Linked DNA regions of Diceros bicornis minor. The protein of the gene in region 2 interacts with the protein of the main gene of each other region in a pairwise test. Links are inferred from orthologs where the notes say so. Each region holds a gene or a part of one and is shown on either strand. Other genes may lie near its edges.

Region 1 (7,161 bases), on a different chromosome or scaffold from region 2:
TTGTGTTTCTCCTTGGCCTCCTCCTTTCTTCAGTAATCACAACACAGTCATGTTGAGTTAGGTCAATCACTGCAGGTTCTAGAGATTCACAGGTGAGGTCAACTACTTCATCACTTTCCTCAAGTTCTATCAATTCTGCTTCCAAGACAATCTCAGGAGATGGGCCTCCTTCTCCAGCTGTATGGAATTCTCGGGCTTGTCTGGAATTCACCATACTACCATAGCCCATTCTTGTATTCATTGTGCTTTTTGGATCCAGTCTTCAAAGAAATAAATGACCTGTACCAAAGTTTACAGTGAATGTTAAAGCCCTCAATGTCTCTCAGCTGTTGGTCAGTCACTCTCTGACTTACATAAGAATTTAGAGCCCAGATTTTCCAGTATATTTGAACTCTGATTCTGATTTCAGTCCTGTCTCCACCTCCACAACTGCTATGTTCCTGCAAGGTTGGGGGTTGAGTCTTCTTGGAGCCACTTATGAGACAGCTCAATCTGAATTTTTAACTGAAAAAAATGAGAGAAAAATTAAGCCTTAGTAATATTTAAAAATAAGATTGATAGTAATATAAAATGTATAGATATATAGAAAAATAATATATAAAAATATATATTTATATATAAAATTGTGTACTCAAAATTTCTGATAGTTATGCATTTAAACAAAATTTATACTTTGTGCCCCTCCTCATTTCATGTCCTGATGGTAGTGGGGTGAAGGAGAAACCCAAGGGGCAGTTACATGAAGAGAAGCACAAAATCATTAAACACCAAGAAAAGGTCACTACTTCATCCAAGATCCATTATGAGGATCTCAAGGAAACACTTATTTTTTACAAAGTGAAAATGGAGAGACCAAAAAGCTATTTGCACATTTGAGTTTCTAATAACAAATAAGAAATGAATCATTTAGTCTACACGGAGGTTCATCTTGCCCAAGATTCCCTTTCTAACAGAGGCAGCAAGTGGAGTTTTGAAGAGTTTTATCCCAGATTCTGTTCTAGGAAAGAGGGGATAGAGTTCAAGCACTCGCCACAGACAGACTTGGTTTGAGTCTAGACTCTGACTTGGGGGCATGTGACCTAGACAGTTAAAGTTCTCAAAACCTCAGCATGTAAATCCTTTTTAAAAATTATTTTGTAATTCAGATATATTTTAAATAATTTTAAAATCATTGGTCATCATTAAAGAAATGCAAATCAAAGCCATAATGAGATATCATTTCACACCCAGTAGGATGGCTATAATAGGAAGATAGATAATAACAAGTGTTGGCAAGGATGTAGAATTTTGGGATTCTCATGCACTGCTGGTGGGCAAGTAAAATGGTGTGGCAGCTTAGGAAACCAGTCTGGCAGTTTTTCAAAAGGTTAAATATATAGTTACCATATAACCCAGGAAGGCCACTCCTAGGTATATACCCAAGAGAACTGAAAACTTATGTCCACAACTGAAAATTTGTACATGAATGTTGATAAGAGTATTATTCATAATAACCAAAAAGTGGAAACAGCCCAAATGCCCATTAATTGCTGAATGGATAAACAAAATGTGGTATAATCCATACAATGGAGTATTATTATTATTATTATTATTTGTGTGTGTGTGTGTGTGTGAGAGAGAGAGAGAGAGAGAGAGGAAAGTTAGCCCTGAGCTAACATCCGGTGCCAATCCTCCTCCTTTTGCTGAGGAAGATTGGCCCTGGGCTAACATCCATGCCCATCCTCCTCTACTTTACATGGGATGCCACCGCAGCATGGCTTGACAAGCAGTGTGTCCAAGCACACCCCAGATCTGAACCTGCGAACCCTGGGCCACCGAAGCAGGGCGTGCGAACTTCACCACTATGCCACCAGGCTGGCCCAATGGAGTATTATTCAGCAGTAAAAAGGAATAAAGTGCTGACACTTGGTACAATATGGATGATCTTTGAAAACATCATATTAAGTGACAGCAGCCGATCACAAAACACCACATATTGTATGATTCCATTTATATGAAATGTCAAGAACAGGCAAATCAATAGAGACAGAAAAATTAGTGGTTCCTTAGGGTTGGGGATTGGGGAGAAATGAGGAGTGACTGCTAATGGGTACAGGGTTTCTTTGAAGAGTGATGAAAATGTTCTAAAATTGAGGTGATGGTTGCACAATTCTGTGAATACACTAAACCCCACTGAATTGTACACTTTAAATAGGTGAATTGTATGGTTTATATCTCAATAAAGCTTTCACCAAAACAAATAAACACACAAGCTGCCATAGAAACGTTACGCAAAACAGTGTAAGACCATCTAGACACAAGCCCTAGAACCTGGTAGAGAAGTGTGGAGCCCTAGAAGAAAATCAGCGGAAGCATAGGAGGGCGCGGCGCTCAGCGCTCCACTGGACGTGCCGATTTACTTATGAAGCAATACTTCTCTTGGACCCCACAGACACACCTGCCTCTCACTGGATCACCAGCCTCAAGTATTTGCCTTTCGTGACCAGCCTGCCCCTCCTTCTTCGCTCTGCGCCCAGGGAAAGAGAACCCTGGGGACGAGACCGGGCAGCCCCAGAAAGCAGTGCCCACCACCTGCGACCCCACCCATGCACCCTGCAGCTCATCAACGGCCTAGATATTTTGTCCTGTCCAGGCTAGTCCTTGCCAAGGTAGCTGTCCAGCGAGAATAGAGCAGGAAGCGTGCGTTCCAGCGGCGCGCCACTTTCCGGCCTCTCCTCTGCTTCGCGGTCCGGTCCGGTCCGCATGGAGCCTTAGCAAGCTGAACCCGGGTGCCTGGCTACACTGGGCCAGGAAGGAGGAACGAGGTGCTGCAGGGTCAGGGAGAGCCTGTGGATAGAGAGGGAGAGGCAGAAGGAGGGGGCGTCGCGGGAGGAGGTACTCACCGTGAACGCGCCCAGGTTGGCGGCGGCGCGCAGCGAAGAACAGAGCCAAGGTCACGAAGCGGGAGTCACGGTGCGTTTGCCCACCGACCCCACGGTAGAAAGCACGGGGGTTTTCCCCTCCTTTTAATCTGCTATTTTAGTTTCTCAACTGCCCAATCAAAACCCGAGCCCATGGTGGCTCGTCACCAGTCTCTGGGCAGAAAGCGCTGTTCCAGGTTAGAAAAGGGGACTTTCCCATCCTTAGTTTCCTTTTTCTCCAGTCTCATGTTTTCCGAGAAAGGGCAAGGGCGATGTTGTTGTATTTTGTTTTTTTTTTCCTCCTGGTCATTAGATCAGCAACTCCTCACTCTCTAAATAAAAGTGGTTCTCAACGGAGACAGTTCGCCTCTCTTTAAATTTTGAAAATTAATAGGGTTATTTTTGGTTGTTCCAACAATGGAGTGACTACAGGTATTTAGGGGCTGAGGGCCAGGGGCCCCAGCCTACACGCAGACACACACAGACTCTCCCCCACCACCCCCACCCCCCAATCTGTGAAAAACCTGCTTATAATCTGGGCTTTACAATCACGTGTAAAAACATGTCCTATTTTTCAGTTAATTTATTCCTTGAATACTTATTGACCATTTACTATAACAGGCCCATATACACTGAATTTTCCAGGAATGGAACTAGCAGGCAACTCAAAAGAAAATGTATTTTTGGTTTGTTTTTGGAATTTTACCTAGAGATTTTCACCATTTCAGAGAATCACACCACAGCCAGCAATACCATATCTGAATCTGAGCCATCAGTATAGTGCAACTCTCAGTCTTCAATGTCATAGTTCACAAAGATCCTAGGTCAGTTGCAAGCATGTGGCACTTCTTTACCTCAGCCAGTACAGCCAGGCTAGAGCATTCACATACTAAATTGCTTAGCTTTCATAATCAAATTAGTAAAAGAGGCACCAGAAGCAAAGGTTGTTATAAAAAGGAGGTGTTGCAGAAAAAAGGGGTGGAGGAGATGTTGGATCTGTTTGGAGTTGAAACCTCTAATATACACTGGAGTCCTAGGAACCATGCCCACCTCAGTCTACCAGGCCTGAACTTGAGTTCTGACTCCCTGTCCTAGAAATCTAGCAGCTAAGGCTTCAGTACACAAGTGACCTGCTTACTGTGCCATCACCAGTTAGTGGCTGAGAACCCTTCATTTTACAGGTAAGGAAACTGAGGCTGGGAAAGGTTAAGAGATTTGAAAGATGATGAACTGTGACAGAAGCAGGGCTAGAAGCTCCTGAAAATGCAATTAGACTTTTGTGAATTCTCTGAGCAAATCCTGAGACTGTCAGAAGCGAGCTCTGCCTGCAGATTTACCTTGGGAGGAACTGTCCAGAGTGAGGGGAACGTCTTTTACCTGCAGCCCTTTAGGGAAAGGAATTCTTACATTGTTTCTTTTTTTCACCAGCTCAGTGCCAAGAAGTTTTCCTTGTATCTCCTTGCTTTGGTTTTAGGCAATTTTATTTATTCTTGTGAGCTGTGAAAATAAATAACCACTGGGAGTAAAAGCAGTTGCCTAGAGCTTTACATTTTACAGAGCTCTTCTTACCACCATCCCCTTCTCAGAATGACCCCCGAACAGTATGTGGCACAGAGTAGACACTCCATATTTATTGAGCGAATAAATGAAAAACTTTATGAGGTAGGAATAATTATCCCGTTTTATGGATGTAGTGACAAAAAGTCAAGCCAGTAATATGACTTTTCCAGTTTTTTCATGGAGTTAGGATTCAAACTTAGACAGTAATATGACTTTTCCCATTCCTTTTGTGGAATTAGGATTCAAACTTGGGTCTGAATTCTGCTAACGTCTGTTGCCAATCTTCTTTTTCTTTTTTTCTCCCCAAAGCCCTAGTACATAGTTGTATATCACAGTTGTAGAGTTGTAGCTGTTCTATGTGGGATGCCACCTCAGCATGGCTTGATGAGCCGTAAGTAAGTCCGTGCCCAGGATCTGAACCAGCGAACCCCAGGCCGCCAGCTGCCGAAGCAGAATGCGCGAACCCACCCGCTACGCCACCGGGCCGCCCCGAAACTTTGAAATTTTAATGGAAGTTTGAGACAGCATGTGTTATGGGCCCAGCAGAGGAAGTTAACAGGAAATTCACAGTAGCAGACTGATGCCCCACCCAGACTTGATGAGCCCATCCCCAGCTTTTTCATATTTTGCTACTAACAGTTAGCACTTGCATAGTACTCCTAGCCCTGGAGATTACCCTCAGGCACTGGAGTGAGCTGGAAGTACCTGGGAGTTTTATGTTTCACCCCACTTCACACTCCTGGGCAGCCTGTAGCCAAAGACAAGCTGATGTGGAGCACCAAAGCCCAGCTCCTTTGCTTCAAGGCAGGACAAACTCTGAGGCGTGTTCCTTTTTTCTAGAGCTCCTGTGGGAATAGGCGGAGTGCCAGACAGCAAATCACACAACCACTTGGCTTCTTCCCATTCCCTATCCTTCATCCCTGACTCCCTCATTGGTTTCTCCTGGAAGCCCTTTCTTAATGTCACTTGCAAATCCTTGGTTCAGCGGCTGCTTCTGCAAGAACTCAACCTAAGACCCTCACTGACTCTTCAGATGATGAAAATGGCATGCACACTTGCAAACAGCTAAGGATACCTAGAAAACCACTTCAGACCACACTACAGCATCGTGTGGCAGCAAGAGGCCTCTCTGTTTTTTCTACGTGAAAACAGTAAAAAGAGGAAGTGGCCTGTTGGGGAGGGGAAGCTACACATCAGTGCGGTTTTCAGTTGAGCCTGTGTGCTACAGAAATATAGATATCTCCTTAGATTCAGAGACTTAGCGCGTAGTAAGTGTTTAATACATGATCAAACTATTATTTTTAATTATATTTACTAGTGGGGGTTTTTTCGATCAGCCCTTCTTATAGCTCTCCAAATTATCAGAATAGTTTTTAATGCATAAAGTTTCTAATCAAAGTACTCACAGATAATTTACTTCTTTAAAGATATCTAGGACCCAGATGTTAGTCTTCAGTTTTTTCTGAAAAGCCTAGAGTCCGAGGAGAGATATGTAATTTTTGCCCCTAAAACCTTAATGGCTCCATCACAGACAAGATGTTTATTTTATTAAAGAAAGACCTTGAATTTTGCCTCAAGAGTTTACAATACAAGAAATACAAGTAAAAAGCAACAGCCCAAAGGTATTTGAAGTGTGGTTGTTGACAAAAACTAGAGAAAACATTTGCCAGTTCTCTGTATTGTTTCCATTTATGCCATGTTTTCATTAGGGATAGTGAAAAAAAAGTGAGATATAAAAATTATTATTTAAAAAAATTTTTAAATAAATATAATAATAATAATAACAATGAAAATTTTTTAAAAGATAGAACAAAAAATAAAAATCTCCTGAAAAGCTAACCATACCAAAATGAACACTGATAAATGGTCATATCTGGGTGGTGGGATTAACAAGGTTTTTTTTTCCTTTCTGCCTGTATAAACTTTCTATTTTTAAAAATAATGAGCTATACTCAAATAATAAAAGTTGTAAAAATTCACATCATATAGAAGTATGTAGAATAATATTTAAAAAGTCTGCCTTCATCTTTCTCCTGCCATCCTAGCCCCTGCCCCTAGCTAAACATTGTTAAGAAGTTGTTGTGTATATTTCTGGAACTTTTCCTGTGGGTGTATCTGCTTAGAGGGATTGAGAAAAAAAAAAGATAAAAAGGCTAATATAGTTTGTTTAAAAATGTATAAAAATGGTAGCACCTCAGTGAGGAGTGCCTGAGAGGCAAACTCTGACAAGGGGGATGAGCAGGATAAGTGCCACGGCTGCCAAGATCTGAGCACCATTCTTGAGGAATATTGCACACAAACCGCTAATATACAGTCACAGTCTCAGCTCGATGTTTCCTTATAGGTCCTTGGTTCAACAGAGCAGTTCTAGGTTAAAACTGCTGAATTCTAACTGGCATTTCAGTATTACTTTGGACTTTCTCTTCCAGACGTGTTTTTTCCCCTTTACCTTGGTGAATTGTCTTAAGCCATGGCTCCTACCTTACAGCTTTTTCTCACTATCACTTCCTTTGGTCAGTTAAGACATGGGGTCCTCTCAGGCTGTCCTTGCAGTTCTAGAACCTGCATCAAATTATATGCTGTCTTTCTCTAGTTTCTTGGACATTTCTAAATTCTTCTAAAAGAGGAATTATAAGGAAATGCAAAGAGAACTATTTAATAAAGATTAAATTTTAAAAATAGCCAGAACATAAAATGGAGA
Region 2 (8,045 bases):
GACTGCTGGCACCACCCCCTTCCTCCTTCCTGCAGAGCTCCTGTTCAGTTCTGGTCTCTTAGGAGACACAGACTCACCCTCAGCTCCAGGTCTAGCAGTAGCCAGACATTCTAAAAGCAGTCTTGGCACTCACTGGTTCAAGAATGAGCATGTAACTTAATTCATAACAAGTAAATAAAGGAAAAAAAAAAGATTTTCTTGGCTCTCGGAGAACTTCTGGAAGCCAGCGTCTCTCTTCTTCTTAGGGGATGCCCAGTGGGCTATGGGGCCCAGAGCTGCTCAGTCCAGAGAATCTCATGGAAACAGAGCAGGAGCCCCAAAGTCACTCCCAAAGTCCTGTGGACCTCCAATTCTGTAGCCAGGGCAGCTGGGCCTCTGTCACTTCCAGCCAAGGCTTCCTAACTTGTCCCAGTGTTGCCTTCTCACCACTGTGCACTGGACACATTTTTCAAGACATTTCCTACCATTGCATTGTTTCTTCCAGGACTTGCTACATAATTTTCAGAGTCCTCATGCAAAATGAAAATACAGGGTCTCTTCTTCAATAATTATTGAATTTCAACATGGTGACTGCAGAGCACTAACCCAGGGACAGGGCTCTTCACAGCAAAGGGCCCTGTGAGACAATATAGGTCACATACCCAGGAAGCCAGCTCTGGTTTCCTCCTTTATTGATTCCTGTCAAGGCAAGTTCTCCCTAGCCTTCTGACTTCAATTACCTTATATCTATGGCTGCCATCTCAGCCTCAAGGTCCTAACTTGTTTCTCCTAGTTTTCCCTTTTATAAATATGATCAGGCTATGTGTTCAAACATCTAGGTTCAAACCTACACTCCTTATCTCCCCAACCCTGCTCCCTGTCCTCAAAACTTCTGATTCCTCATCTTAGGCAATGACACCACCATCTACCCAGTTATCCATCTTGTGGATGGATACACCACATACTCTTCTTCAAGTCCTGTCAATTCTACCTCTGCCATGTCACTCAAGTACTGCCCTTGCCTTGGTATCCATTCCACAGTCATTAATCTGGGCAAAGCCTTTGCTGGACTTTCACAATAACCTCTACTCTCCCTCTGCACGAGTCTCTGGCCCACTCCAGGCCACATCACCGCCAGAAGGATCTTGTTATAACACAGATCTGAGCATGTGATTCACCCGGTTCAAAGTCCTAGGATGACAGATGACCCCTTTAGAGAATAATTTGCCAAAAAAATTCCTTTTTGGAGAGCTAATTATAAAAAATGAGTCACACCCTTAGAGATCCTGTAATTCCATCTCTGGTAATCAAATCTAAGCCTACTGTGCAATAATGCTCATCACAGCACTCTTATGAAGAATTTAGAATATCAATGGCAGTTAACTCATATTTAGTGCTTGATATATACCAAGCATGTGTTAAACATGTATCATCTCATTTAAGTCTTAAAACAACTCTATATAGGACACAGAGGCTGGGAATGATTAAGTGCCTTGCCTGTGGTCCTACCACAGGTGACCTCATTCTCTACCCCAGGTCCCTCAACACCCATGTCCATGTGTTTACTCGCTACAGGTACTGATTAAGTTACTGGTCACTTTCTTACAGAAAGTTAGTGTTAAAAATTATGACTATGAATACTGTTTCACAACATGGAAAATGCTCACGTTTAAGGCTATGTGATAAAAGTGGGATACAAAATACAGTATGATTATTTTCTTTAAAGTATAGGAAAAAGACTGGTAGTAGATATGCTAGGATGTCAACAAATGGTAAGGTGGTAGAATTGGGAATATGTTTTCTTTCTTCTACTACTGTGCATTTTCCAAATTCTAGTTAATATCATGGAAATTAATAAAAGAAATCATAACTAAATCACAGTTGCAAAGCCCTGTATGGGGAGCTCTCACACCGCATCATGCACCAAACAGGAAGAGACCTGCGTGCATCTTGGACAGGAAGTAAAACTACTTTACTACTGAAGGAAGATTTCTCTCTCAACCTAGCAACAGCCCAGCCAATGAGAAATGACAAGCTCAGCCAATGAGAAGCCACAGCTTCCCTGAAATGTTACCTTCCCCCAATGCACTTTCACTTAGAACAGCACCCTCCCCCACCTCTTTCTCTCTATAAAAGCAGCAACCCTCTTTTAAAAAAGTTTTCCGGATTTGCCTATGGTTTGCCATAGCATGTACATTCTGAATTGCATTTCTTTTGGGTATTCTGGAATAAATTCGTTTTGAGGATAAAATAACAGGAATTTGCTTTTTAGTTTGACAATATATTAATCGCCTATAACGACTCCCAGTTACCTACAAGATAAAAAAACAGTTATGCCAGCACTGGCCCTAAGACCCAGTCCAGGCCCATTAACCCACTCCCATCCCCTGCTTCAGCATCCTGCTCCGGTCATCTTCATTGGGCCCCAAGCCAAGCCACGCGGTCTTCCTGTGGCCGAGAACGCCCTTGTCCCTTTTCTCCAGTTGCAGAGTTCCAACTCATTCCTTAGGACCCAGCTCCAACCACGACTCCCCCGCCCAGCCCTCCCGACACTTTTACAAGGGCGAGCCCTCATTCCTCAGACAACCGGCGCCTTCTCGTGGCCCGGGACAGGCAACGACAGAGCCCTGAGTCTGAACATCGCAGCAGGCACCACCGTCAACTCCCCCTGCCGCCCCGCCTAGCCCACCAGCCAACCTGCCAGCCTGACGCAATCCCCACGTGACTCCGGGCACGCCCCTCCAACCCCGCCCCACCGCCCCACGTGACGCTGGCCCCGCCTCGCGCGCCGCGCCGTGCCCTTTTAAGGCGGCGCCGGCGGCAGTTCCGCCCCCCCCCCCCCCCCCCCCCCCCCGGCAGGTGTCGCCGTGGTCTGCCCACCTCAGCCGCTGTTCACTTGGGAGCCACGGCGCCCCCGCCCGCGAATCGAGGCTTCAGACCCCCACGCTTCGGACTCGCAAGAAGCCCTAGCGGGGGAGGGCCCCTTACCTTCTGGATCCGCTTCAGCGCCATCCTACCCCAGCTGCTGGAGACGGGGGCGGCTCGGCCCCGGGCTGCCAGAGGCTGCCCGCTGCCGGCTCGGCCGCGGCGCAGCGCTGCAAGCCGGGAACGGCCGCCTGCGCGTGCGCGCCGCGGGGCACTGTGGGGCCGGCGTCCCGCGGTTGGCGCGTACCGGAGCGGGCGGGCGGAGTGGGCCTGGCGAGCGGGAGCGGCCGCGTCGTCTGTCGCTTGCTGTGTGGCGCCCGCCGCGGCCCAGCCCCCGGGTCAGCGAGGGTCTGGGGAGGCCGGCGGAGAGAGGGACACTCGTTGGTTTAACAGTGACTCGCCGAGCACCTGGGAGGGGCCGGCGGCCGTGCTCCCTGTCCTTGCCTCCTGGGCTCCCTCCCAGGCTGTCGCATACTCCTGAAAATAGTGGTTCTCAGCTCTGCTTTGAACTTAAGTCTGTAAGTATTCATACCCTTTTACGTGTTACGTGTCAAATATGTCACAGCTCTTTCCGTAGAAATACACATAACAAAGTTTTAAATGCAGTGGGCTTGGAGGTGTGCGTTTTCAGTAATGCTTCGGGTGATTTTATGGCGCTGCCTAGGCTGAGAACCACGGCCTTACACTGCACATCCAAACTTGATTCTCTGTCTCCTTCCCTTTTTCCCAAGACCTGGCAGGCATCTAGGTCAGAGTTTTTCAAACTGTGGATTAGGAACAATTAGTGTGTCACGAAATCAGTTTAACGGGTTGCAGCCAACATTTAAAAACTGGAATAATACAGAATACAGAATATTAGTGCATCTCACGTAGTAAAGGTGGGAAGTGTGCAAGTTCCGTTGTGTGTATGTGTGTAGATGATAACACGCATCCTCCAAAATCATGCATTTTTGGGAGTGAAAGGGAAGTGCAGTATAGTTACTCTAGGCCCAAAGGTGTAATCTGGGGTTGTCTCTGGCCAACATATGGTCACCTGTGTGTGTGTACTCAGTCAGAATATAAAATGTATTATAGACGTTTCCACGGTCCCTAGCCGTGTCCCTTGCCCAAAACTCGACAAGGATGCCCCACGGCCTACAAGGATTACATCCTGTCGCATAAGGCTCTTCAAAATCCAGTATGGTCCAGCTGGCTTACTATGAAGGGTTTCCATCATGCTCCCATTACGTTCCTTTACTCGTGGCTGTCCTCTGTCTGGAAGGCTCCCTCTTTCCTTCCACCAAAGCAGAGCCATCCCTCACCTTGCAAGGCGAGCTAAGGCATCACCCCCCTGAATGCCCCTGGTGGAGCACCTTTTTTTGGTGTTCCTGTTAGTCAGTGAGTCGTCCATCCCGGAATTGTTTACGTGGCTCTCCCCTCATAGAACAAATGATCCCAAATTTTTATAAATGTTTATTTGTGTAAGAATATAAACTTAAGTGACAACAATGGTTATCTCTGGATGGTGACTTTACTAATGATGTTAATTTCCAAAATTTCCACAGAGAATCTGCTCACTTGTATAATCCGGAAAAGAAATCCAGGAAAAAGAAAAGAAACGGAATTGTGTTGAATAGCAAATGAAAAATTCCATTTCTGCTTCCTGTTGGTAGTTTAGCACATAGTCTTCTAAGCTTTTTACATAAACTTTTATACATAGTTTTTTATTTTGAAGTAGTTTTAGATGTACAGAAGTATCGCAAATATAATAAAAGATTTAACAATTGATAAATTGGACTTCATAAAAATTTAACACTTTTGTGCTTCAAACAGCACCATCAAGAAAGCAAAAAGACAACCCACAGAATGGGAGAAAATATTTGCAAATCATGTATTTGATAAGGGTCCAGAACATATAAAGAACTCCTGCAACTCAATAAAAAAGACAAACTAATTAAAAACTGAACAAAGGATTTGAATAGGAATTTCTTCAAAGATATAGAAATGGCCGATAAGCACGTAAAACAAAGAAGCTCAATGTTGTTAGTTATTAGGGAAATGCAAATCAAAGACTCAATGAGATACCGCTTCACACCCTCTAGGATAGCTATAATCAAAAGGACAGCCAATAACAGGTGTTGGTGAAGATGTGGAGAATTTGGAACTTGCACACTTTACTGGTGGGAATGTAAAATGGTGCAGCCACTTTGGAAAACAGTTTGGCAGTTCCTTAAAAAGTTAAAGTTATATGACCTTGCAATTCCTTTCTTAGGTTTATACCCAAGAGAGATTAAAACATGTCCACACAGGAACTTGTACACAAATGTTTATAGCAGTGTGATTGATAATAGCCAAAAGGTCAAAACAACCCAAATGTTTAATGGATAAACAAAATATGATATATCCACAAAATGGAATATTTTGGCAATAAAAAGAATGAAGTACTGATATATGCTACAACATGGGTATATTAGATTGCTGTGGTTGATGTAACGAAGTACTACAAACTGGGTGGCTTAATAGAAATTTATTGTCTCACAGTTTTGGAGGCTAGATGTCTGAAATCAAGGTATTGGTAGGGTTGGTTCCTTCTGAGGGCTGTGAGGGAGGATCTTTTTTCCACCTCTCTCTTCTAGTTTCTGGTAGCCTCAGGCATTCCTTGGCTTACAGATGGTGTTCTCCTTGTGTCTTGACATTGTCTTCCTTGTATGTGTGTCTGTTTCTGTGTCCAAATTTCCCCTTTTTATGAGGACTCAATCATAGTGGATTAGGGCCCACCCTAATGACCTCATCTTAACTTGACGTCTGCAAAGACCCGAATTTCAAATAAAGTCACGTACACAGGTACTGGGGATTAGGACTTTAGCATATTTTGGGGGGACACAATTCAACATGTGAACCTTGAAAACATGCTAAATGAAAGAAGCCAGTCGCAGAAGACCACATATTGTGTGATTCCATTGATATGAAATGTCCAGAATAGGCAACTCTACAGAGACAGAAAGTAGATTAGTGATTGCCTAAGGCTAAGGGAGGGTGGGGAATAGGGAGTGATTACTAATGGGTAAATTTTATGTCTGTAAAGCTGTTTAAAATATAATAACAACAATACACAGTTCTTGTATACGCTTCACCCAGCTTCCCCTAATATTAGCATATTACATAACTGTAATGCAATTATCTAATCCAGAAAATTAACGTGTATACAATACTATTAACTAATTTACAGACTTTACTTAAATTTTGCTAATTGTCCAGCTAACAGCCTTTTTCTGATCCAGGATCCGATTTAGGATCCCATGTTGCATTTGCTTGTCTTGTCACCTTAGCATCCTGCAATCTTAGACAATTCTTTAGTCTTTCTTTGTCTTTGATGACCTTGACACTTTTCAAGAGTATGGGCAAGTTATTTTGTAGACTATCCTTCAGTTTGGGTTTTCTGATTGATGAGATTAAGGTTATGCATTTTTGGCAAGACTGTTACAGAGTGATGTTCTGCCCTCAGTGCGTCGTACCAGGAGGTACATGACATTGGTAAGTCTTGTTACTGGTAAAGTCTGATCACTTTAAGTTGATATTTGTCATATTTCTCCACTGTAAAGATAAAAATTTTTCTTTTTAAATTAATAGTAGCTTGGGAGAAACTTTGAGGCTATGTGAATACCTTATTTGTTTTTTCAATCTTACTTTCATGCGGTAATTTTAGATTCCCTTCTTGCCTACGGCAGTTATTACTGTGGTGTTTACCAAATGTTAATTTTCTGTTTCTAGTTTTCTTTCTACATTTATTAATTGGAATTCTACTGTAAGGAAGCGCTGTCTTTTCTCCCTCGTTTATTTATTCAAGTATTTTGTTTATATCAGTGTGGACTCATGGATTTTTATTCTATCAGTTTTAATCCATTAGTATTGTTATTTATATGTTGCTCAAGGTGTCCTAGATTTGGCTATTGAGAGCTTATTGTAGGGAGCCTCTAAGATGACCCCCAACAATCCCCACCTCCTAGTATTCAAGCCCTTTTGTAATCTCCTCTCCTTTAGTGTGGGCTGGATTTAATGATATTTTTGTGTGTGTGTGTGAGGAAGATTGGCCTTGAGCTAACATCTGTTGCCAGTCTTCCTCTTTTTGCTGAGGAAGATTGGTTCTGAGCTAACATCTGTGCCTATCTTCCTCTATTTTGTATGTGGGATGCCACCACAGCATGGCTCGACGAGTGGTGTGTTGGTCTGCGCCCAGGATTTGAACCTGTGAACCCCAGGCCACCAAAGCAGAATGCACGAACTTAACCACTACACCACTGGGCCAGCCCCTAGTGATGTTTCTAATTAATAGAAAAGGTGATGGGATGTCACTTTTGAGATTAGGGTAAGAAAAAGACTGGCTTCTATCTTGGGCAACCTCTCTGGCCCTCTCATTTTTTTGCTGCCTCGCTCCCTTACTCCCTCTCTCTCTCTCTCTCTCACTCTGATGGAAGCCAGCTGCTATATTGTGAGCTTCCCTATGGAGAGGCCCCTGTGCCAAGGAACTGAGAGAGGCCTCCTGGCAACAGCTAGTGAAAATGAAGCCCCTCAGTCCAACACCCCACAAGGAACTGAATCCTGCCAACTCCATGTAAACGAGCTTGAAAGTTGATCCTTCCCCATTCAGGCCTTAAGATGATCCTGGCTCACAGCTTAAGTGCAATCCCATGAAAAACTTTGAGCCAAAAGAACTTGTATTAGTTTGCTAGAACAACCATAAAAAATACCATAGGCCAGGTGTCTTAAACAACATAAATTTATTTTCTCACAGCTCTGGAGGTTAGAAGTCCTAGATCAAGGTTCTGGCTGACTTGGTTTCTGATGACAGCTCTGTTCCTGGTTTCTAGATGGCTTCCTCACTATATCTTCACATGGTCTTTCTTGGTGCGTGAACACAGGTCATGGGGGTGGAGGGAGAGGGTTAGCTCTCTGATGTCTTTTCTTATAAGGACACTAGTCCTATTGGATCAGGGCCCCACCCTTATGACCTCATTTAACCTTAGAGTCATGTGCTGCATAACAACGTTTCGATCAATGACGGACTGCATGTATGATGGTGGTCCCATAAGATTAGTACCTTATAGCCGAGATGTATAGTAGGCTAAACCATCTAGCTTTGTGTAAGTACACTCGATGTTTGT

What was found. The genes of interacting proteins can lie anywhere in the genome.
Region 1: the proteins of UBE2D4 (region 2) and E3 ubiquitin-protein ligase RNF4-like interact in a two-hybrid assay, tested with the Homo sapiens proteins (2 studies listed by BioGRID and IntAct). The link is inferred for Diceros bicornis minor from reciprocal best matches to the Homo sapiens genes UBE2D4 and RNF4.

The regions. Positions count from the first base shown.
Region 1 is NC_080744.1:41,883,333-41,890,493, reverse strand, and holds the start of E3 ubiquitin-protein ligase RNF4-like, read right to left. Parts: upstream 3,078-7,161; 5' UTR 2,883-3,077; intron 505-2,882; 5' UTR 242-504; coding exon 1-241. UniProt on the Homo sapiens protein: E3 ubiquitin-protein ligase which binds polysumoylated chains covalently attached to proteins and mediates 'Lys-6'-, 'Lys-11'-, 'Lys-48'- and 'Lys-63'-linked polyubiquitination of those substrates and their subsequent targeting to the proteasome for degradation.
Region 2 is NC_080780.1:1,119,265-1,127,309, reverse strand, and holds the start of UBE2D4 (ubiquitin-conjugating enzyme E2 D4), read right to left. Parts: upstream 3,085-8,045; 5' UTR 2,992-3,084; coding exon 2,968-2,991; exon of another isoform or gene 2,860-2,967; intron 1-2,859. UniProt on the Homo sapiens protein: Accepts ubiquitin from the E1 complex and catalyzes its covalent attachment to other proteins. In vitro able to promote polyubiquitination using all 7 ubiquitin Lys residues, but may prefer 'Lys-11' and 'Lys-48'-linked polyubiquitination.